Tribolium castaneum: one gene and its partners. The protein of the gene in region 6 purifies or fractionates together with the protein of the main gene of each other region. This does not show direct contact. Links are inferred from orthologs where the notes say so. Each region holds a gene or a part of one and is shown on either strand. Other genes may lie near its edges.

Region 1 (3,500 bases), about 11 Mb from region 6:
GTCGTGACTCCATTTTTGGGTAAATTCCCCGAATTGATGCGATGGTTTCGTGAATTTCTTGGTCAGAACGAAGTTGAACCGATGCCTTACAACGCCACACGAACTGAACGACCGCAAGGCGAAACAGCACTTGAAATCGATCTGACCACTGCGAAACGTCTAGGTGCGAGTTATTGCGTCATTCCACCGTCACAGGAAGGTCTCACTTGTTCGGGTCGAACTCAGTTGTGCAAGGAAGTTTTGAATGACCAATGGGTGTCATTTCCAACGTGGTCGGAAGATAGTACCTTTGTTAGTTCGCGAAAGACACAATATGAAGAGTACATGTACAGGTGTGAAGATGAAAGGTGAGCGAATTTATTGTTTATTTATTTTTTCACTTGCGTACTTAATTTTACTTTTTGTATTTTAGGTTCGAGCTGGACGTTGTGATCGAAACCAACGCTTCAACAATTCGTGTTCTCGAAGGTGTAAACAAGAAAATGAGTCGTATGAATGCAGAAGACGTTGCCAAATATCGTCTGGACGACTGTCTTGGTGGTTCATCTCCTACATTGCATCAACGCGCCTTGAAACGAATCTACGGTGATAAAGCACAAGATATAATTGATGGCCTGAAACGAAATCCTCAAACTGCTGTTCCGGTCGTTTTGCGACGACTCAAAGCGAAAGAAGAGGAATGGAGAGAAGCTCAAAAAGGTTTTAATAAGATATGGAGGGAACAGAACGAAAAATACTACTTAAAGAGTTTGGATCATCAAGGGATCAATTTCAAACAGACTGATGTTAAAGCGTTGCGATCAAAGAGTTTGTTTAATGAAATCGAGACGTTGTTTGATGAAAGACACGAACAGAATGAAGAAGGTGCCGAGCCAGTGGTTGGACCACATTTAGTATTGCCCTACAAGGATAGGACGATTTTGGATGATGCTGCGAATCTATTGATTCATCATGTTAAAAGACAGACCGGAATACAGAAAGGGGAGAAGAGGAGAATTAAGCATTTATTGAGACAATTTTTGCCAGAGTTGTTTTTCCATCCGAAGCAGCAGTTGACGGACGACGAACGTGATGACGGTGAGTGGTTTTAACTTTTATTTAAAAAAAATCTTAATTTTTATAACTTTTAAAAAACCTAATACCCACTCATAGTTGTCTGTTGAAGAAAACCTGAATATAAGACGGATAGAAAAAGAAAAAATATTGTTTGTCTTTTTTAAAACATATTCGAGTTGGAAGTGTTAAAATATCAAGAGCTATTTTTATTATTTGCGAATTATTGAGTCATTTAAATACCACCAGCAAAAATTTCAAATTAAAAACAAGTTGTAGCGTTCAGTGACACATGATGACGTAGGTCTGTACTTGACGTATCGATAATATAATGATTTGTAATACTAGAAATATGAGTGTTACAAATAATGAAAATTTATGTACATAAAGGCGGGTTAGTAATGAATGTCCTTGACCCACAGACGTTAATTTGTAATGTTGATACCCATTTCATAAAACACTTTCAAAGCGTTAATATACTCACAGTTTGTTTTAATAAAAGTAAAAGTTGAATAAATTTGTAAGGTAAATTTTTTCTTTGTATAAAATTGTTGCTACTATTTTTTGATTTATTATCAAGGAGGTTCTTAACTAAAGTTTAGTTAAGGATGATTAGGGATTTCGTTTTAGGTTGATTAAGTTTTAAGATATTTGGTCTACGAGTTTTGTTGTAGTTTTGAAGATGTGTAAAAAAAGGCTAGTGAAAAATCATTATATCTATTATTGTTTATTTATTATTCTTAAATATCGCAAGGTAATGTGATCGTTTAAAGCAAAAATTAATAAAAATTGTCACTTTTTATGAATATGAATTAAATTGTATTACCTATAAACGAATTGCTTTATTGCAGATGAAAAAGAGGATGGTGACGACAGCCCGATAAGCAGTCCCACTGGGAACAACTCTAAAGGTAAAAGCGAATCAAGTCCAGGAAAATCTCCCGGAAGATTGGACGGAGAAGTTGAAGTAAAAACAGATCCTGATTGTAAAGACGAAGACATCAAAGTTCCTTTACATGCTCAAGTTTCAGATCCGGTAAGCTTAACATCACTAAAAAAAAATTATTCTATAGGTTTTTTTTTCATTGTTACAGGATGAAGCTTATACTCTATTCATGGCCAATAATAATTGGTACATATTCCTTCGCCTTCATGCTGTTTTATGCGAACGTTTGGCGAAAATCTACGAACGTGCTGTAATTCTGGCAGCTGAAGAAGCAAAATCTCGAACAGGTCGTAAAGAAAGTACAGCCGTTGCACTTCGATTGAAACCAAAGCCTCAGATTGAAGTTGAAGATTATTACGTTGCATTTTTGGATATGGTTAAAAATCTCTTGGATGGTAATATGGACGCTAATACTTACGAAGATACTCTTCGAGAAATGTTCGGTATTCATGCTTATATTGCGTTCACTTTGGATAAAGTGGTTTCGTATGCGGTTCGTCAACTTCAGCACTGTGTGACTGAACGAACTGCAATTGCTTGCACTGATTTATTTGTCAAGGAACAAAAACGTGGAGCTACCGGAGGATCATGTTCTACAGCGCACAAAAGAGCTCATCTAGAGATGGCGTATCAAAGGCTAGGCGAAAAAGCTGTACAAGACGAGAATTGTTTCAAGATCTATATCTATAAGAAGGATTGTAGGATGACTATTGAGTTGCTTGATACGGATTCAGAGGATCCGAAAAAGGTTGAAGATACGAAAAAGTGGAGTTCGTATAAAGAGTGTTACGCGGATATAACACATGTGGACAATAAACCGCGTTCGCCGGTCTATTTAAATCGGAATTTAAGGTTGTATAAAAAACGTATGGGGCTTCATAATAAAACGTCATCGGTGGTGGAAAAAAAGAATAAACAACAAAGGGAAGAGAACGACGAACAAAAGAAGAATCAAGATGAAGAGAACAAAAAGACAAATAGGGCAACGACCGACGAAGCGGACAATAAATTTGCAATGTTGGAGGAGTTGGAGAGGAAGTTTAGCGAATGTCCTTTGCCTGAAAGAAATCAAACGGAACATCCGGGATATGAAGTTTCGGATGAAACGCAATGTAAATTTAATTCACAGGATCCGAAAATTATGTTTACGGTTAACAAGGATAGTTACTTGTATAAAATAAGTGCCTTTTCGAGAGCGAGAAAGGTAAGTTTTCAAAAATTAACATACTTTTACAAACGATTCAGAACCTTTTAAAAGTTTTTTTTATTTTTATTTCGGAATTTTCAAATTCTAAAAACAATTTGATAACTTTCTTTTCATTACTTTACGTTGGTAAAACTTTGATTATCTTTACATTTTTTATGTAAATGAAGTCATTTTAAAAGTAATGCTTTGGTAATTTGTGTCATTGTTTGTTTCAGAGTCATCCTGCGATAACGAAACGCTTGTCATGTAAATTTCGCGCGTGGCTGAAACATTGGGCAAGTGAGAACGTTAGTG
Region 2 (2,809 bases), on a different chromosome or scaffold from region 6:
GAAACAATAAAAAGGTATATCTGAAAATGTTTTAAACGAAACTTAAGAAGATGTCTATAAGAATTACAGGCTTGAACAGCTGAAAATTTCAGACATAATCTATAATACGTAGTTTATGTGTAAAAATTGATAAGAAAAAAATTTATCTATACCCAAATCAATCACATAGGCCATGCGTCCGGGCACAAAAATCTCCGACCGTTCAATATGCCGACTCTTCAGCGCACAAATCGTGTGGTAAATCGACTTCCCAATCTTCGTCTTAAACTTAAGCTCATCCTCATCCTTCTTCTGCACCTCCTTCTTCTCCTTCTCCTCCGTCTTGGCCGCCAGCCTCTCCAACTCCTGCTCCTGCTCCTGCTCGATGTGCTGTATCTCGCTCCTCACCTTCTGCAACAGGGCATAATCCAGCCCCTTCACCAAATGCGTATGCTCCATATCGCCCCCCAAGAACTTGCTCTCTTGAATCATCTGTCGGCGCCTCTCGGCCGCATCGAACCCCGACTTCAGATCAGGCGCCACGGCACGATAGGCCTGAGCCGTGGCCACCGGGTCGTCGCTCTGGTAGTCGGGGTTCACCCCCTGGCGGCGCTCACTGGCCCTGTCTCGGTACTTCTCCGCCAGTTCTGCCATCTTATTGTCCTCCTGCTTCTTCAACTTGGCGTAGTAGCTCTTCTTCTTGCGTCGCGCCTCGTTCTTGTCGTCTTTGGGGGGCGGCATCGTCGACGAGTTGGCCATCGCCTCCCGGATGGAGCCGGGGGCGGGCGCGTTCGCGGGCGCCGACCGCGGGGTCATCAACAACTTGCGGAAGTCGTCGTTGGTCAGCCGCTGCGACCCGGGGGCCGCGTCCGAAGGCATTTTTAACCAAAAACTGGGCCTGAATGTTGCAACTAGAACTGTCAACTGTCAATCACATAACCTTGCTTCCTCCTAGCCAGAAAAAAATTACAGTGAACCACTTCAAATGAGACCAAATAGCCCCAAAATGCTAAAAACAAGCTTTTTGCATTTACTACAATTACTATCGCGAATAATTAACCAAAATAATCAAGGAAAAACAGCAAATTCTTGTCGATAACACGTAGAAAAAATTAAAAAAAAAACAACTTTCCAACCCTGTCCCACAACTAACACTTAGTAATTATTTAATTAAGTATTTTTGCAAACCTACACGTATTTTTTTTTGCAAACAAAATTTATCAAAGTTTCAAACCAAAAAGTGCAGATTCAGTTGGGGCGCCTAACCACCGTTTTTTTCATACTGGGGGGGCTTTACGTTACGGTGAATAAACGCAAACGGCTTGAATAATAAATAATTCACCGGAAATATCACTATTTGGGGCTTTTAATTCATTAAATTAGTAAATAGGGGTGTAGGAACCTGCTTGTTACCGGCGGAGCGCACCTCCGCCATGTTTGTTTGAAAATTGTGAGCAAAGCGTCTGTTTTGCGGCTTTTGAAGTTATTTTAATTTCTTGCACGAAATCCCTCCAAAGTTGAGTAAAATTCGGCGTAAGTGTGCCCCGTGCGCCCCCCGGTGTGTACAGTGTGTTTTCTCCATCAGGGCACAATGAGCAAAAGCAAGAGGACGAGTCCTTCCCCCGCAGACCAAGAGGCCAACGAAGAGTACGTTGTGGAGAAAATAATCGACAGTCGGATAAATGCGGCCGGTATTAAGGAATACTACTTGAAATGGATCGGTTACGACGACAAGGACAACACATGGGAGCCCGAGGAGAACCTGGACTGTCCCGGGCTGATTGCGGCTTTCGAGGCCGAAAGGGCCAACAAAGACAAGGAGCGCAGCAAGAAGCGCAAGATGAACAGCACGCCGACGCCCGACATGAAGGGGGCCAAGAGGAAGAACGACGAGAAGAAAGTGCACGGGTTTGATAGGGGGCTAGAGCCCGAAAAAATAATCGGGGCCACGGATAGTTCCGGGCAGTTGATGTTCCTCATGAAGTGGGAGGGTACAGATGAGGCGGACTTAGTGCCCGCGAAACAGGCGAATATTAAGTGCCCCCAAGTTGTCATTAGGTTCTATGAAGAGCGTCTCACTTGGCATTCGCCCACAAATGACGAAAATAAAGCCGAGTGAAGGCTAGTTGTAAGGATATTCATAATGTACATATTCAACACGAATTATATACTATTATTAGACGAAAAAATCATTTGGACTAAGTAGGCGTTTAGAATCTTCCCGTATTATTATTATTTGAATCTGACTCCCTAGCTGTAAGTTTAGTTTCTTGACTTAATCAATAGAAAATTGTAATAATTTTTTTTATTTGAAATAAAACAAAACACCATTGCTTCGTTATCACTTATCACCCGAAAATATCATGAAAAGTGGTCCCATTGTACCCCACATCGCTAGTCGGCGCGTTCACGAAGTGAATATACATCCTAGAAACACAAAAAGTACAAAACCACACCAAAGACCCAATTACCGGTCCTTCGAAACCCCCAATTCCTTGCACACAACTTCGTACAAAGCCTTGGCGTGCTTTTTGTTTGGTTCCACGCCCAAGGCGCCAATGCTCATCAGAGTGGCTTGAGCGGCGGGCTCACTGGTGCCCCCCCAAGACATGTGGACGTCTCCGATCACAGTAGCCACACAATACTTGAAAAAAATTGAGTTATTCAAAGTTGACGTAACCTCAAACTTACATTGAGTGGCTTTGATAAGGAATTTGAAACAACTTGGCACAATTTCTGAGGCAAATCGGACGGGATTTTGCTCTGGGGCACGTTTGTCTCAACGCGAAAGTGAGGCATTTTGCGGAAAAAAATTGGCGGTGTTTTTATA
Region 3 (3,698 bases), about 11 Mb from region 6:
AGTCAAAACTTTGCCATGAATGCACCATCCAAGAGTCCTTGTTTTGTCCTGCTTGTACATTAGGCAATACCTTTTATGAGCCGGATTATAAAGACGTGGATATTGCCTTATATTTTGTAGAAATCTGTGTGAACCCGCTTATTGTTAATTATTTCGTGATAATGAGCGATTACCTTGAACGGAAAAAATGCAATAGTGTTGCTGCAACTGAACCCTTTGAATTTAATTACAGCGTTAGTTAAATTAAAATTAACATATTTTAATGAACGAATAATTTATGCGGCAGTAACGAGCGCAATTTTCCTATTTGGAGTACGGAGATTGTTCATAACAAACGTTGAATAAAATGCAACAATAGAAAATGCATTTTTCAAGGGAAATTTCTGCATTTCAGACGCAGTACTATTGTGATCATATCGGATTCTAAATTTATTTGTAGTACAGAACTAATTTATATAATTTCATTTATCTGATTCTATATCATATGAAATATGCTAATTAAACCATGATCAAAACAATTTAATGTTTTAGGTATTATTTCCATGAGAGCTTTAATTGTTATAGAAGATCTATCCTAGCTGAAAAAAAAGAAACGAAAAATTGTTGGAAATCGTAAAAATAGCAAGTGTTATCGTCAGTAAATTAACTTACAATGACAGGACACGAATAGGCATACACAGAAGAAATCCAATGATTTTATTATGAGAAAATACAAAACAGTTATGCAAGAATTTACTTGAGAAAGAATAAAATACAAAGCTAGATTTAAAAAAACCTGGTGATTTAATTTTTAAACAACAGCAATGACGTAGTAAATTTTTGTAAATGTAATAATGGAAAAATTGTCAAATGATGAAAATAGATAATTTTAGGCGCTATCAGCTGCTTTTTTGTTTGTTGCTCTAGGTCATACAAACTCCAGAAAAAACGCAAAAAAGGTCGCCATTTTCACTTTTTTTTTAAATTTTTAACCGCCGATTAAAGCGAAACTGTTAAACAGAGTCAGAGAAAAACGGTAAAATCACTGAGAATCGGAATAAAAAGCCCTACAAAAATGACATAGGTTTCAAGGCGATATCTTGAAAAAAAAATCATTTTTCAAACGCCGATTATCGCCAAACTAAAAGAGCTAGGAAAAATGCTTTTTTCCATCGTAAAGAGCACATCAAAATCTATCGAATAAGATAGGTTTTATTTGATAATGAGACATTTTTAAAATTAGCCATTTAAAAAAAATGCAAATAAATGCAAAACCGCTCCGAGTTTAGTTTTCCAGTTGTAAATTGAAATCAGCTGATTCCTTCGAATCAAACTCGGCGCCACAATGCTGCCACCCTTTGCCACACATGCGCACCATTCTCCTGTCAAACTCGAGTCAATCATGGCGTTAGACGTGTGTTTTGGCTGTCAGCAATCTCGTAAAAAGTGAATTATCCCACAATGGACCACAAGAAAAGCCCAATCCGACGCGCAAAACGTCAAGCAAAGGTGCTCGAGGAGAACTTCTGGGACTGCAGCGTGTGCACGTTCAGGAACACAGCGGAGGCGTTCAAATGCCTGATGTGCGACGTCCGGAAGGGCACCTCGACGCGCAAGCCGCGTATCAACCCGCAGTTGGTGGCCCAGCAGGTCGCCAGCCAATTCCTACCCGCCACCAGCCAACAGAAGAAAAAGGACAAGAAGGCGATGAAGAAACGGCGCCATCCACCAAGACTCAAGAATGTGGACAGAAGTACGGCGCAGACACGCGAAGTCACCGTCAACAGCGTCACGGTCATCATCACCGAGTACAAGCCCAAGAGCAAGTCCACGGAGACGATCTCCAGCTCCAGCTCTTCGGATCATGGATCGCACTCGGAGAGCAGCATGGACGCGAGGTGAAGGGTGGCGTGTCAGTGACTCGAAGGACAATGACGCCTGACGTCGACTTTACTTTGATTGTATATACAGGGTGAGTGATTAAACGCACCGTCTTTCGTTGCCCTCTTATGATTTAAACGCAAACAAACGACTAGTGGAAGCTTTGTATACGAAATATTTGCGATTATCAACTCCGGAAGTGAGATTGTTTTAAATATTTGTTAAGGTTATTTTCTCTTTTTTGTAGTGTAACATTGTTGTCTCTGTTTCATTATCTTGTGTAGTTCATAAAGGATTGTTTTTTTTTTCGTAAATAAATGCAATTATTTGATTATTTCGAATGCACACAATGTCAAAGAGACGCTTTAATTACTTATTAATAAATGGTCAGTAAAATAATAAATAATAAAGTAAAATAAAGTATGAAACGAAAACCAAATATCACTCAAAAAATTTGCGTTTATTGTAGCTTCTTTTTATTTCTTTGTATGTACTGTGTGAATTTTTTCAAAGCGTCATTAATTTAATCCGCAATTAAATTCGTAATCACGTGACTAAATTCTTTTTTACTGTAAATATAGAAATTTTCGCCGAATTTCATCATGAATCAAAAAATTATCAAATTTGTGTAAGGTTTTAGTGCATTTTTCAATCAGAAACTCACTTATTCGCGAAATTTGAATTCAAAAAATACTAAATTGGGTCCAAAGCACGAGATAAATTCGTTCTTTTTTTCCTTGAGGTTTTTTCATCTTGATTTTTTATATTAAAAAAAGCATTATTTCCACATCGGTAATGAAGGTTTTGAGACTTTTTTAATAAAAATGAAAGCGCGTTCAAGAGGAAAAAACCGACAACACCGTATTCACATTTTTTTTAACTTGAATGAAACGGAATCTATATGGTGTTTGATGAATCTTTCGGAAACCGGAGGTTTGAAAACTTTGAATTACTTACAACTTCCACTAATTGTTGGGCGCTTAAGTTATAAGAAGGGAATGAAAGAATCGGCGTTTAACGACTCACCCTGTATGTTTTTGACTATCATCAGAGGAGCCAACGGAGATAGTACTCGATTCCTAGCTGTCACTGCCCCAACCAGCTGTTGTTCAACGTAGACGATTTACTTTTTCGGGTTTCGAAGAAAATTTTATCGAGTAAAGACTGTGAAGGACTTTATATACCCGCATTAAATGCATTTATATTATGTAATAATATTCGAAATAGCTAATTTGTATTATAAATTGTTGCTCATTGTTAATGTATTTATGAGTGATGTCCGTATGTTTGTTTGATGGAAAATGGTGTGTGATGAATAAATTCGAAATTTTCTATTTTTCAGTGACTTTCATTTTTAATTTAAGTGGATATCTACTTGCCAATGCAACGTTATTAATATTTTTTTTTGGTTGTGTTGAAAACAGTCGCGTGCTACTTTCATAATTTATTATGTACTAAATAATGCATTAATATTGTTTACTTAAAAATAACTTATCAGATATTTAAAATTTCACGTACTCAATGTGTTTTAAAATTTAATGATTTATTTAGTGGTGAACCCAAAGAGTTGTACAATTGATAATGGTGAGCTAATAGGGGTTAGGGTTTTCATTCCATCTAGTATATGCATACACTTGAGTAATCGCCATCAAATTACCTGATTGTATAAGTTCTGTCACTAATAATATTGATATTAATTGGCCTTTTGAATATTAATTGTGTTACAACTTGAATTAATCAAAAATAATTGAAACGACTGATACCAGAAATCACAAATTACGCTTCACTTACGGTAAATTAATTAACATTCAGAATCAAATATGACAGACGTCCTCAAA
Region 4 (3,500 bases), on a different chromosome or scaffold from region 6:
TGTTTTTCTTGACTTTATAGGATGTTTAATTTTTTTTTTCAAACTTAAAATAACTAAAATAAATGCAAATGTTGGTAATAATTATATTTCTGGCTTGAAAAACCTCATAAATCTTTCGAAAAGCTGATATTTTAAGTAATTTTTTTCGATTGGTCGAAAATGATGTCACGAACTTTTTAGTACTTTCCCGATATTGTGAGTCATAGGAGCCTTTGTGTACTTTTCCTATTTAAATAAACTACTAATTTATAAAGACTTTATTATTTATTCTTGTTTCATAATGTTTTTCTTGACTTTATAGGATGTTTATTTTTTTTTCAAACTTAAAATAACTAAAATAAATGCAAATGTTGCTAATAATTATATTTCTGGCTTGAAAAGCCTCATAAAACTTTCGAAAAGCTGATATTTTAAGTAATTTTTTTTTGATTGGACGAAAATGACGTCACGAACTTTTTAGTACTTTCCCGATATTGTGAGTCATACGAGCCTTTATGTACTTTTCCTATTCAGAAAAACTACGAATTTGTAAAGACTTTATTATTTATTTGTCTTTCATAATGTTTTTTTTGACTTTGTAGAATGTTTAGTTTTTTTTTCAAACTTAAAATAACTATAAAAAATGCAAATGTTGGTAATAATTATATTTCTAGCTTGAAAAACCTCATAAAACTTTCGAAAAGAAGATATTTTAAGTATTTTTTTTTCGATTGGGCGATAATGATGTCATGACTTTTTAGTACTTTCCGAATATTGTGACTGATACGAGCCTTTAGGATTTTTTTCCATTTAGATAAACTAAAATTTATGAAGACTTTATTATTATTTTTGTTTCATAATGTTTTTCTTCAAACTAAAAAAAATAAAAAAATAATCTTTTTCTTAACTTTGTAGAAGTAACTTCTTAAACGCTACTAAATTAGTTTGTAACTAGAATTTGGCAGAGATTGTTATAGTTTCGTTCCTCTTAGGTTGGTAGAATGTTCCCTCAGGCTGTGTACTTCCCCATCCGTACGTTATACCTAACTTTACGTACGGCAACAGCGCGTAAAACAAACACAGTCCAACAACAACCCCAAGACCAAACCGACACTCAAAATAACCAACAAGAGAGTGGCAACACTGCCACAATCACAACCAGCGAAACATCTTCAATCAAAGCAACACCTGCTATGATCCGCTGTTCAAAAATAATGAAAATGCAACGTGATATTCACACCACGGCACTGTCAAGTCTCGAAGGAATTGCCAATCAAATGGAGTGGTTTAGAGAGAATTGGTACGAAGAGGTTTTGAGACAGTTAAGGCAGGGTTTGACTAAATGTTACGCGATTGCGTTCGAGAATCGTGAAAGTGTAAATGAGGCTAAAATAACACCACATATACTTAATTTTGTGAAAAAGTTAATGTCGACGTTTGGCATTGGTGTTGAGAATATTGGTTCGGTGGTTACGTTTAATTCGGCAGCTAGTGAAAGTCTGGCCAGGAGAGCCGAAGCTACGTATCAGGATCCGGTGTTTAAGGAGATGAAGCAGGATTTTACCAAGGATTTTGATTTTTCGCAAACGAATTCGATGCGCTTGCATACGTTGATTTTTAAGCTGAAGAAGTGGATCAAGATTTTGGATAATCGTTCCAAGATGTTGTTACAGTAAGTACATTTTTTGGAAAAAAATATGTTTTGTCAAAATTTTGTGGTCTACCTTGTAGTTACGCTCACTCGTTTTGGCAAACATCATGATTGTTAAACAAAGTCGGTCGTCTTGAATAACTTTTATTTTAAAAACATGTTTTATTATGAAACACTTAAAAATATTAACTTGTCTTGTATTTCTTTAACAAAAACAAATAAGACAACAAAATATTTCAAAAAATAAAACAGGTAGGTAATTATTTGTCATTTATCCTAAAATGTAAAATTGTATCACACATTGTGTTGAGGAAAATTTTCTTGCACAATTATCTAACAAAAATATTTCTTTTACAAAACTTATCGCTTATCATAAGTCATATTTCACCAGAAGTAAAAAACAATCTAATATATTACCACACGCGTTTTTTCAACTTGACAGCCGCTTTATTGATATTTACATGATGACATGTATTTTGCAAGCGTAATTGCTTATAAATTAATTGAGATTATGTCATTTATCAGTTGGATTTTCTCATAAAAGGGGGAAAACAATTAGAAACTAATTCTGGGGAATTTGTAAAAAAATTTGTAAAAATAAATTGTAAACAAGAAAGGAAACACAGAAGAAGAAGAATGAAGCAAGATGGATAAAATAATAATTAAAATAAAATAATTTAAATTGTTTTTTAGGACAGGTAGGTAACATTAAAAGGGTTATTATAAGGTATAAAAAATCTACATTTTTGTAGCAAATTTACGAAAGCATAATATTTTAATCAAATTAACACTGGAAACGTTAATAAAATTTCGATCAACTGTGCAGCAAAAATTGAAGCTGTTAAATTTATTTTCTATGATAATTTGTAATTAAAATTCTTTGTAAAGCTTTTTAATAGCTTTTATTTTGTTTTGTTGTCAGTTTCATATTTTCTGAGTCAAGCTTTAAAGGGTTTTTATTGTCCGAATGAACTGTAATTTTGCATACTTACGTAATTTCCGTGACAATGCAATACTAATTAGTTCGTCACTCAAAAAGGAGGTTAACTTTTCAATTTTCGAAATACGGTTCAAAAAGGTGTAGAAGTAATTGTAAAAAATCTAACAGTTGAATTATTATTATTATTATTTTTAAAATACTTTATTTTTTTACCCAAAAACCTATATAAAAAAGATATTTGGAAGCTACCAAAGAGTAGCTTGAGCCCGTTATGTCAATGTAGAGTTAAATAAAAACTTAAGATTAAACTTAAAAAAACATATTTTGAACTTCAAAATAACCTGACTCTTGAGTTAACTTAGACTTTTCTAAGTTTTCAGGCCTGACCTGACTTGACTGTTGAGTTTACTTAGACTTTTTTTAAGTTTTTAGACCTGACCTGACCTAAAAATTGAGTTTACTTAGACTTTTTCTAAGTTTTCAGACCTGACCTGACTTGACAGTTGAGTTTACTTAGACTTTTTTTAAGTTTTTAGACCTGACCTAACCTGAAAATTGAGTTTACTTTGACTTTTTGTAAGTTTTCAGACCTGACTTGACCTGACTGTTGACTTAACTTAGACTTTTTCTAAGTTTTCAGACCTGACCTGACTTGACTGTTGAGTTTACTTAGACTTTTTTTAAGTTTTTAGACCTGACCTAACCTGAAAATTGAGTTTACTTAGACTTTTTTTACGTTTTCAGACCTGACTTGACCTGACTGTTGAGTTAACTTAGACTTTTTCTAAGTTTTCAGACCTGACCTGACTGTTGCGTTAACTTAGACTTTTTTTAAGTTTTCAGACCTGACCTGACCTGACTGTTGAGTTAGTTTAGACTTTTTCTAAGTTTCCAGTCCTGACCTGACCTGACTGTTGAGTTACCTTAGAC
Region 5 (4,000 bases), about 3.1 Mb from region 6:
CTCTTTGAAACTCCTGCGTTGTTCTTATAGCCCCATTCTCTATATTCTTTCTAATCGTCAACAAATCCATGGGTCTATACACCACACTGTGATACCCTGGAGCTTGGTCATCGGTGATCGGTTTAGAAAACAGTGACGCGTATTTATTTGCAGCCAATCTACTATACACAAGCATTATAGACTTCTTCCAATTGCGATACTCCCGATCATCATCGTAAAAATATATACTGGAAACTGGTGATCCTGGAACTGAATCAATCGGAGTCGCAGGAGTTGAAAGTCGCCTCCTTGTCCGTATTGTAGACACATCTTCCTCCTCCGTCCAGGGACTGTTAGATCTTTCATTCTCGCTCTTAATCCGCGATTTGCTGTCTTTACGGTCCAGTTCGCTGTAATCCCGGTCAGAGAAACTCTCTTCAACCAACTCACTTTCGTCTCTTTGCGCCTTTTCAATGGCCAAGAGAACATCAAATTCTTTATCGTCCTTCTTCTTCGTCCTGGAATAATCGCGCTTTGCTTTCCCGGTCTTGTCCACTTTCACTTCCATATTGATATCGTCGTACAATTCCTCGTTATAGTCGGAAGTCAATGTGGTTGACTCGTCCAGTTTCCTTTCGTCTTTCTTCTCAATCTCTACACTAGATTTTTCATTTTCTGAAACTTTGGCGTCTGTTTCTGATTTTATTTCCGCAACTTCTGTACTTTCCCCTGCTGTTTCTTTCTTTGGTTCCGCTTTAACGGAATGGGCTGGATCTTCAGTTTTATTGACTTCCTTGTCAGTATCCTCATCATCCATAACTACAACTTCTACAATTTCGACGGATCCAGGAGTTGTGCTTTTATCTTTCTTATCGGAATCATCAGTTGGTTCGTTTTTTACTTCTACCAGTTCATCCCGAGATTCTTCGCCATTTGAAGTTAAGTGTTTATTGTCTGAATTTGGGGCTTCGTCAGTAGTTTGTGACCGATCGTCGCTGTCCTGTGCTACCATAGTTTTAGAAGCGTCTGTTTTCACGGCTGTTGCAGGTTTAGCGGGTTCAAAAACTTCCGGATCTTCTTGGAACTCAAACGGATCTATTGCCGGTGTTGTAGTTTCCGTCCGTTTTTCTGTTTCTTTGGTTTCGTCCTTCATATCAGTTTCACTCTCTTCGAAATCTTCCAGTTCCAAATTTAGATTAAGATCACCGTTTCCATCCAGTTGTAGATGCTGTTCCGGATCTGCAACTATATCCTGCGCGTTCTCAATCAAATCGGAGATGATAACATCAACGTCATTCTTTATTTCTGGAAGTGGGCCATTCTGGATCAAGATACTGCTCGCCAAGTCATCAATTTTCAAAATTTGTAGATTGGCATCATCGAGGATATCGTTAGTATTGACATTCTGTTGTTGGGTTTCTTCTCCGGTTGGCTCTTGTCCTATAGCTGTACTAACCAAAAGTTGCAATCCTGGAGAAACTGTTTCTCCAGTTGAGGAGCTTAAAAGACTGGCAATCATGGGGCTAGTAGTTGTGTTGGTTGGCCGTTGGTTGGTAATCGCTGAATGCAATATTGAGGAAGTTGTAACGTTTGGAACTTGTGATGGTGATTTCAGAAGACTTGTCAGAAGTGGCGATAGGGCCGGTTTAGGGGGCTCCTGCACTAGGATTTTCTGTTCTTCTGTTGTATTTTCCATCTCTGGGATTGTGTCCATAGCTTCGGAATTTTTACGTTTTTGACCAATCACCGGGGATGGCTTAACTGGTCTCCACGCTCTTTCTATTTCCTGTTTTCGTAACTCCCTCTCCTTTAGCCACTGTTCGTGTGCCAGGGCTTCTTGTTCCTTCCTGTGTTCCTCTTCATCTATTTCCTTACACCAAATATCCAGTTGTTCTTCACTTACGTTACCTTTAAATAAAACAATTAATTATCAAAAAATACTTAACCGAATTTCCGCAACAGTCTTAAGTTTGAGAGGCTCTAATATAGCCCCTGTAACTTCAAACAACTTTAATTTAATTGTGAATACCTGACTGAAGCAGAGCTTTATCTCTCTGCAATTTCTGATATTCTGCTTTTTCTTCCGCTAGTAGTCTCTTGAGCTCAGCTTGTCTCTCGGCCAAAAGTTTGCGTAGAATGACTTCGGCGGGGGTTTCGATAGTGACTTCGCCCCCAGACGTTCTTTTCTTCCTCTTAGGTGTTTCAACATTCGCTAAAAGAGCCCCATACTGGGCTGCACAGTTCTTCTGGTGGAACCAATCAGGGGGTCTGTTGGGTTCACCAAAGGGTTTTAAAGCTCGGCTCACACTTGTTAAATTCTGGTCCATGTTACGAGCCACTGCTAGAGCCAACTGTTCACGGATTGACCATTTATCCAGCGGTTCACGCTTTATTTGTAAACGTTCTTCAATTGAACTCATTTTGAGGTTATGTTGGCCCGAACGTCCAAAAATCAAATACAAGAACCTTGCCAGGAAAGTGACTAATAGTATCACTGAATAAACATTCTTGAAGTAGAAATTCGCACACAAGAATTATCGTTATAACAAGCTTGAACGTTGTTTATATTTGTCAACTGTCAAAGTGTCAAACCTGGACAAACTATGCAGAAGTTTTGCCTGATTTTTAAAGAAAGTCAACCACAATCAGTGTAAGATTATGTAATGTTTCAAGCACACTTGTCTAAATAATTTCGTAAGATCTTATTATTCATAAAAATTAATAATCTTGAAAATTTCATACGCAGACATTATTAGATATTACGTACAGACCGTGATTTTTGACGAGGGCTTTTATGATCGAAAAGTATTAATTTAATGACTGTTTTTTAATTAATTAGTGTATTTTGGGTGTAGCTGGTTTAATGTTATCAAATACATATAGATTGTGGCCACCTTTTTGTATTTGTCGAATTTTATGGCATATTCTGTTATTAAGTATTTCGGTAGCTTGCGCGGTAGCTACTTTAGTGGCAAGTTGTCAAATTTTTAACCTCACTTTCTTGCGAATGGAATGCAATAAAAAATGTTTTTTTCGAATGCTTTGGAAGCTGTTTCTGGTGGTAGCTCCACCCAGTGTCCCAAAGTGAAGTAAAAAAAGAAGTTGTGAGTGTATACATAACAATCAAATGTAAGGATACTCTTTGAAAAAAAAAAAAAAGGTGGAAACAGTATTCAGAATGGCCCCCGAAGGGCGAATCAGTTATTACATCGACAAATATGGAGTGTTTCATAAAAGTGGTGGAAAAAACGACAAGCCGGTGAATGCACCAGCGTTTGAGACAAGTGTGACAAGACCTTCCTCAACTTGGCTGCGTCTGATAATAATGTTTTGGAATGCAAGAGTTATGAAAGCGGCTTTTCGTTTTGGCGTTGCTGCAATAATCATGAATCAGTATGAGCGTCTGGGATTTGCGGTCCTCTTACTGTGTTTCACGCTATGATAGTTTACTTTGTAACATAGTAGTTGAATAAATTTGTTTGAAATGTTTTTGTGTGTTGAAGGAAATGCGGGCAAACTGTAAAAATGCAGCTTTATTCAATTATAAACCAAATTATAACAACAGTTAAAACATTAAATAATTTGAGATTACTCTAATAGTTGACCAAGAGGGTAGCGATGCGCAATTTAAAATAGGCACTTTTCTACATTTATTTACATGATTCTGAAAAAAATCCCTACTTATAAGGTGAATATGACTGTGAAGGAAATTTTCAACAAATCGTAATTTTGTGAATAAGAAATGATTTTGTTAAAATCGCTCTCATCGTCAAAAGCATTTCCCAAAGTTACGTCACCTAATTTGATAACAGCATGAGCACTTTCGGTAAAAATATAACAGACTTCGTTACAGAATTGCAGTTTTAACCCCTAAAGTGTGTGTAACTACATCCTTTACAACTAAAACACTTCATATACTCTACTCTCATTACGTAACAAAGCAATATTTATAATTTCAGTCTAGGCTAGGATTCATCATGGCAAGAATTTGTGAAACCTATTTTAACATAAATTATATGAT
Region 6 (4,129 bases):
GGTCCGCAAAAAATTATCGCTTAGAATAATTATTTTGCGTTTCACCTTATATTTTTGCATTGTTTCCGTCTTACTATTGACAATTAAATGCACAATCTGCTTTTATTTTTTGTTTGCTCTGTGTTAACAGTTATACAAATACAACCATTTTTTCAAATTCATTGCTCTGAAAACTTATGGGGGACGAGAACGTTTTATTTGTACGTCGTTTCATATCCTAAGCTTTAGATATCCGTTATTTTAGTTACACATTTGTTGTGCTATAAGTGCTATAACTAAAGATATCTTCTTTTTGTAGCATGCCTATTTTAGAAAGAGAAAAGAAAGAAAACGTATGTACTAATCAATTCTAGATACTTGCATGGATTTGACTAACGATTTCGATGTTTTGTTGTGTGAATCGTAATATTTTTATTTTTTCAGTCTATGAAACCCGTCGTACAAGCTTACGTCGAGAACGGTATGCAGCAAATGGCTGCCGAAGTAGCTGAAAGAACTGTCCTAAATGCAACTAATATCACAACCAACGGCAAGAAACAGGCGTGATAACATTCCCCCGTCTGTTACAATAGCACCCTAAAAGCATCGTTACATATTAACGCGTTAATCGTCACGTGATTTGGATTGTTGTGGATTTTGTCTTGCCATATATTGTGGAACATAGTATGTAACTTTGCTGATTATGTGATATCTTGGCAATGTTGGTATTATTGTAATTTATTTGTACATAACGCTTCTAAAAATAATACAATTTTATCTATTACGTAACCATTTTATTGTACACTGTTATGTAAAGTTTGCAAAATTTATTACATGTTCCATTGGTCAATCAGTTTCTCCGTTTAACTAGAGTAGTAATCGTGAACAGTACTGACATTGCAATATAATTCACCACCCAAGTGCCTTTTATTAACCCAATAATTGTTTTTACTGTTTGTCTTGTGATTTCGTATTGTGGTGTCCAAGTCTCCAGTACACTAATGATAAAAACGCATTTTTATTGTTACTAGTGAATAGATAAGACAAACTGAATTGAATGTTACTATTTCCAAATCAAATTTTATAACAATAAATATTATTTTTTTTAGACTGTTACGAACCATGTTATAATTTATTCAGCTAGATATGAACAATTTTTTTAGCTAACTGCTCAATTTATTTTTATTTTTTATTGTAGTTTAATTGAACTGTATTTGGTTTCGGTTATGAATAAATTTATTATTTTTATTTGAATTTTTTCTCCGCCCTTTTTTTGGTTCGCGTCTGGGCTAAATCACGTGCGCAACAGAACACGTGTAACCCCAACAAGTTGCACGCCTCAGTCGGTAATTGACGTTTGTTTTCTCAGCTAGGGTCGGTGCAAAATTGGGTACAAATAAAACGTCAGAAAGCTTATCTAAATCACACTTTTCGGGAAAAGTGCCCCAGAATCGCTAATAGAGTTCGGTGCTTGACGGTTTAGCGCCCCGTTTTGTGGAAAGTCGCCCCTATTTTGGAATTTTGTGACAAAGAACTGGACTTTCGAGTGGTTCTAGTTGGCCAAGTATGACAGGTCACGCACATTGTGCGACTCACGTCTAGTTTGCTCGTGTTGTGACATTTTGGGAAAAGTACAAGTCGATGGTTGTGTATTACACCTGAAATAAGCCGTTTTCACCTCAGGACTCTGTACTTCTTACAATGAGCGATGACGATCGGGATATTGACGTCGAAAGCGATGTGAGTAGTGTTGTTTATACACAAAACACCACATGGATCAATATTAACATTGATTCATTATGTACCCCCCTATTTCAGGAAGGTGACGATTCGGATTCCCGGCAGCCAACCCCCAGCAGACAATCCACTGGAAGCCAGTATTACTCACAGGTAAATTAATTGGCCACCAGTTCAGGGACGAATTTTCGTACTTTCTAATTATTTCGTTTCGTTTTTTGCACCTCAATATTCTTGATTTTTTGGTTTGTCTTCATTTATCGCAATGGAAATAAACACTGCTTTCCACGTAATTTTGTAATTATGCAACATCTCGAAATGAATTTACAATAAACAACTGCTGTTAGTTTTTTTATGGAAAAATTAGCTGTTGGTTATTATTTTGCAAGCTTCCGTTATTTAAGCACAATTTAATCATTTTAAAGAAGAAAGTCTTTATAAAATTTACTGTAGCTTTGAGCAACTGTATTATGCTTATTTTTTAATTATTTTTGCAATCGCAAAATCATTGTCCGTAAGGATTACTTTTGCATATAGAATATTTTTTAAATACAAAGCTGCAAAAACGTTCTTGAAGCTTAAAATCTTTACATTGTTTTATTTATTATCGCTAGATGTTTTGCACTTTTAAAATCACTAATTTAAATTTTCAGTAATCTTTTCTCTTCTGAGAATTTATGTAAATACAAATACATACAAATAATAGTACTAATAACGAAATCGTTCTTTTTTTCTTCGCCGTGTTATATTGTTTTGTAGTAAATTGACTACTATGCATTTAAATGACCTTAACGATAATTATTAGTCAAAGAATAAAAAAAATAACACTGTAGAGACTAGAACTGCTGAATTAAAATTTTGTGTCAACGTTGTGAGTCATATTAATATTTGCAATTAAACATTTGGTGACGAGGTTTGGCGGCAAAGAATAAAAGCTGCTTGATTTTTTTTCAAATTTGTCAATACATTGATAAGTTGATAACAGAAGTTTGTAGTTTCGAACGAAATAAATTCTTTTACGAGCCAGTTTGCAGAAAGCGGAATTAAAATTTAATTTAGAATTAAACTACATGATTCGAATTAAGTTGCCATTTATTTTGCATTATTAACCAACGTCACGTTAAATGAAAATATATTTTTTTATTGAAAAATGTAGCTGCTATAGAAAGTCAGCATTTTTTTGTTTGGAAATTATAATTTCCGCATAATGCGTGTAGTTTGACAAATCTTTGATGTCAAACGCAAAAAAACGTTTGAGTTGTAAGTAACTACATAAGCGTAAATACGTCGGAACTATTTAATAACAATTTGTTTTGAATAAATGCATTTTAAAAAATCAGAAAATAAAAATATTAATTTTTATAAATCATTTAAAATAGTATTGTTTTACATAAAGCCATGTTTAAAATAAAGAAAACTTATTTCACACGAAAATTATGTGCCTTAATTTAATTTTGCAAAACAGTTTATAAAAAAAATACAATGATAATAATTTGTCTTTTGACAATTTCATCTTATTGGTGCATAATTGTCTTTAAGAAATGGTTTTTGTTAAATTGTTTACTATTTGAAAAACTAAACATGTATCACAAAGGGGGGTGATGCCATTTACAATTTTGAAGAGGTTGGTGCTACAACTTTTAAAATTATAATAAAAGGTGTTCCTCTTCGTTTTGTGCCTATTTCAATTTTCCTAGTGTCATAGTCATTGCTGAGTTATTGCATTATGTAATTTATTTGGTCAGACACACAATTTAACCAGTAAAAAAAAATAAGGGTCTGCTTTGGTGTTTATTTGGTTGTATGCTGTTTAGGCTGAGAAGCGGGCGCACCACAACGCGCTGGAAAGGAAACGGCGAGACCACATAAAAGACAGTTTTAGCAGTTTGCGAGACTCTGTTCCTGCTCTCAACGGCGAAAAAGTGGTACGTCTGTCCGATTTTTCACGTTTGCTGAACGATTACTCGTAAGACAGATATCGTGGCAATTGTATCTTTGCTTTTTAGGCCAGTCGAGCGCAAATTTTGAAGAAAGCTGCAGAATATATAGTATTCATGAGGAAAAAGAACCATTCCCATCAGCAGGATATTGAAGATCTCAAGAGGCAAAACAGTCTTCTGGAAGCGCAGAGTAATACATTTTCTCAGACTTGTTTAAAATATTTTTTTAATAGTTGCAGTTACAGTTCGTACCTTGGAAAAGGCCAAAAGCACGGGTTCTTTTGGAGGGGAATCTTCCGACGGTAAAGATTCAAATTACAATGAAACCGAATCGGATACTTCAGACTTGGAAGGGTCTGTTCAACCCAGAAGGCCAAAGAAACAAAAAATTGGATCTTACCACTAGCAGAAGTTGAGCTGATGGTAATTGAAACTCGTTTCGTTTTTACTTTAACACTTCATGTTTAACGTAG

Evidence for each region.
Region 1: the proteins of Max (region 6) and Sin3A purify together in Homo sapiens (affinity purification with mass spectrometry; 3 studies listed by BioGRID and IntAct, with this or other methods). This does not show direct contact. The link is inferred for Tribolium castaneum from reciprocal best matches to the Homo sapiens genes MAX and SIN3A.
Region 2: the proteins of Max (region 6) and chromobox protein homolog 3 purify together in Homo sapiens (affinity purification with mass spectrometry; 3 studies listed by BioGRID and IntAct, with this or other methods). This does not show direct contact. The link is inferred for Tribolium castaneum from reciprocal best matches to the Homo sapiens genes MAX and CBX3.
Region 3: the proteins of Max (region 6) and RYBP purify together in Homo sapiens (affinity purification with mass spectrometry; 3 studies listed by BioGRID and IntAct, with this or other methods). This does not show direct contact. The link is inferred for Tribolium castaneum from reciprocal best matches to the Homo sapiens genes MAX and YAF2.
Region 4: the proteins of Max (region 6) and Nipped-A purify together in Homo sapiens (affinity purification with mass spectrometry; 6 studies listed by BioGRID and IntAct, with this or other methods). This does not show direct contact. The link is inferred for Tribolium castaneum from reciprocal best matches to the Homo sapiens genes MAX and TRRAP.
Region 5: the proteins of Max (region 6) and Brd8 purify together in Homo sapiens (affinity purification with mass spectrometry; 3 studies listed by BioGRID, with this or other methods). This does not show direct contact. The link is inferred for Tribolium castaneum from reciprocal best matches to the Homo sapiens genes MAX and BRD8.

Annotation. Positions count from the first base shown.
Region 1 is NC_087396.1:24,654,453-24,657,952, reverse strand, and holds part of Sin3A (paired amphipathic helix protein Sin3b), read left to right. Parts: coding exon 1-347; intron 348-412; coding exon 413-1,077; intron 1,078-1,904; coding exon 1,905-2,089; intron 2,090-2,147; coding exon 2,148-3,203; intron 3,204-3,421; coding exon 3,422-3,500. UniProt on the Homo sapiens protein: Acts as a transcriptional repressor. Corepressor for REST. Interacts with MXI1 to repress MYC responsive genes and antagonize MYC oncogenic activities. Also interacts with MXD1-MAX heterodimers to repress transcription by tethering SIN3A to DNA.
Region 2 is NC_087401.1:16,339,791-16,342,599, forward strand, and holds chromobox protein homolog 3, read left to right. Parts: upstream 1-1,355; 5' UTR 1,356-1,512; intron 1,513-1,564; 5' UTR 1,565-1,570; coding exon 1,571-2,098; 3' UTR 2,099-2,309; downstream 2,310-2,809. Other genes in the region: beag (protein Red), read right to left, coding at 153-858; macrophage migration inhibitory factor homolog, read right to left, coding at 2,328-2,406, 2,451-2,623, 2,671-2,778.
Region 3 is NC_087396.1:24,591,174-24,594,871, forward strand, and holds RYBP (YY1-associated factor 2), read left to right. Parts: upstream 1-1,336; 5' UTR 1,337-1,440; coding exon 1,441-1,881; 3' UTR 1,882-1,951; intron 1,952-2,911; 3' UTR 2,912-3,198; downstream 3,199-3,698. UniProt on the Homo sapiens protein: Binds to MYC and inhibits MYC-mediated transactivation. Also binds to MYCN and enhances MYCN-dependent transcriptional activation. Increases calpain 2-mediated proteolysis of YY1 in vitro.
Region 4 is NC_087401.1:16,678,124-16,681,623, reverse strand, and holds part of Nipped-A (transcription-associated protein 1), read left to right. Parts: intron 1-971; coding exon 972-1,651; intron 1,652-3,500. UniProt on the Homo sapiens protein: Adapter protein, which is found in various multiprotein chromatin complexes with histone acetyltransferase activity (HAT), which gives a specific tag for epigenetic transcription activation.
Region 5 is NC_087396.1:10,840,535-10,844,534, reverse strand, and holds the start of Brd8 (bromodomain-containing protein 8), read right to left. Parts: upstream 2,801-4,000; 5' UTR 2,400-2,800; coding exon 2,009-2,399; intron 1,888-2,008; coding exon 1-1,887. UniProt on the Homo sapiens protein: May act as a coactivator during transcriptional activation by hormone-activated nuclear receptors (NR). Isoform 2 stimulates transcriptional activation by AR/DHTR, ESR1/NR3A1, RXRA/NR2B1 and THRB/ERBA2.
Region 6 is NC_087396.1:13,930,743-13,934,871, forward strand, and holds the start of Max (protein max), read left to right. Parts: upstream 1-1,329; 5' UTR 1,330-1,680; coding exon 1,681-1,719; intron 1,720-1,797; coding exon 1,798-1,869; intron 1,870-3,530; coding exon 3,531-3,641; intron 3,642-3,722; coding exon 3,723-3,846; intron 3,847-3,889; coding exon 3,890-4,062; 3' UTR 4,063-4,079; exon of another isoform or gene 4,080-4,129. Other genes in the region: atl (atlastin), read left to right, coding at 424-546. UniProt on the Homo sapiens protein: Transcription regulator. Forms a sequence-specific DNA-binding protein complex with MYC or MAD which recognizes the core sequence 5'-CAC[GA]TG-3'. The MYC:MAX complex is a transcriptional activator, whereas the MAD:MAX complex is a repressor.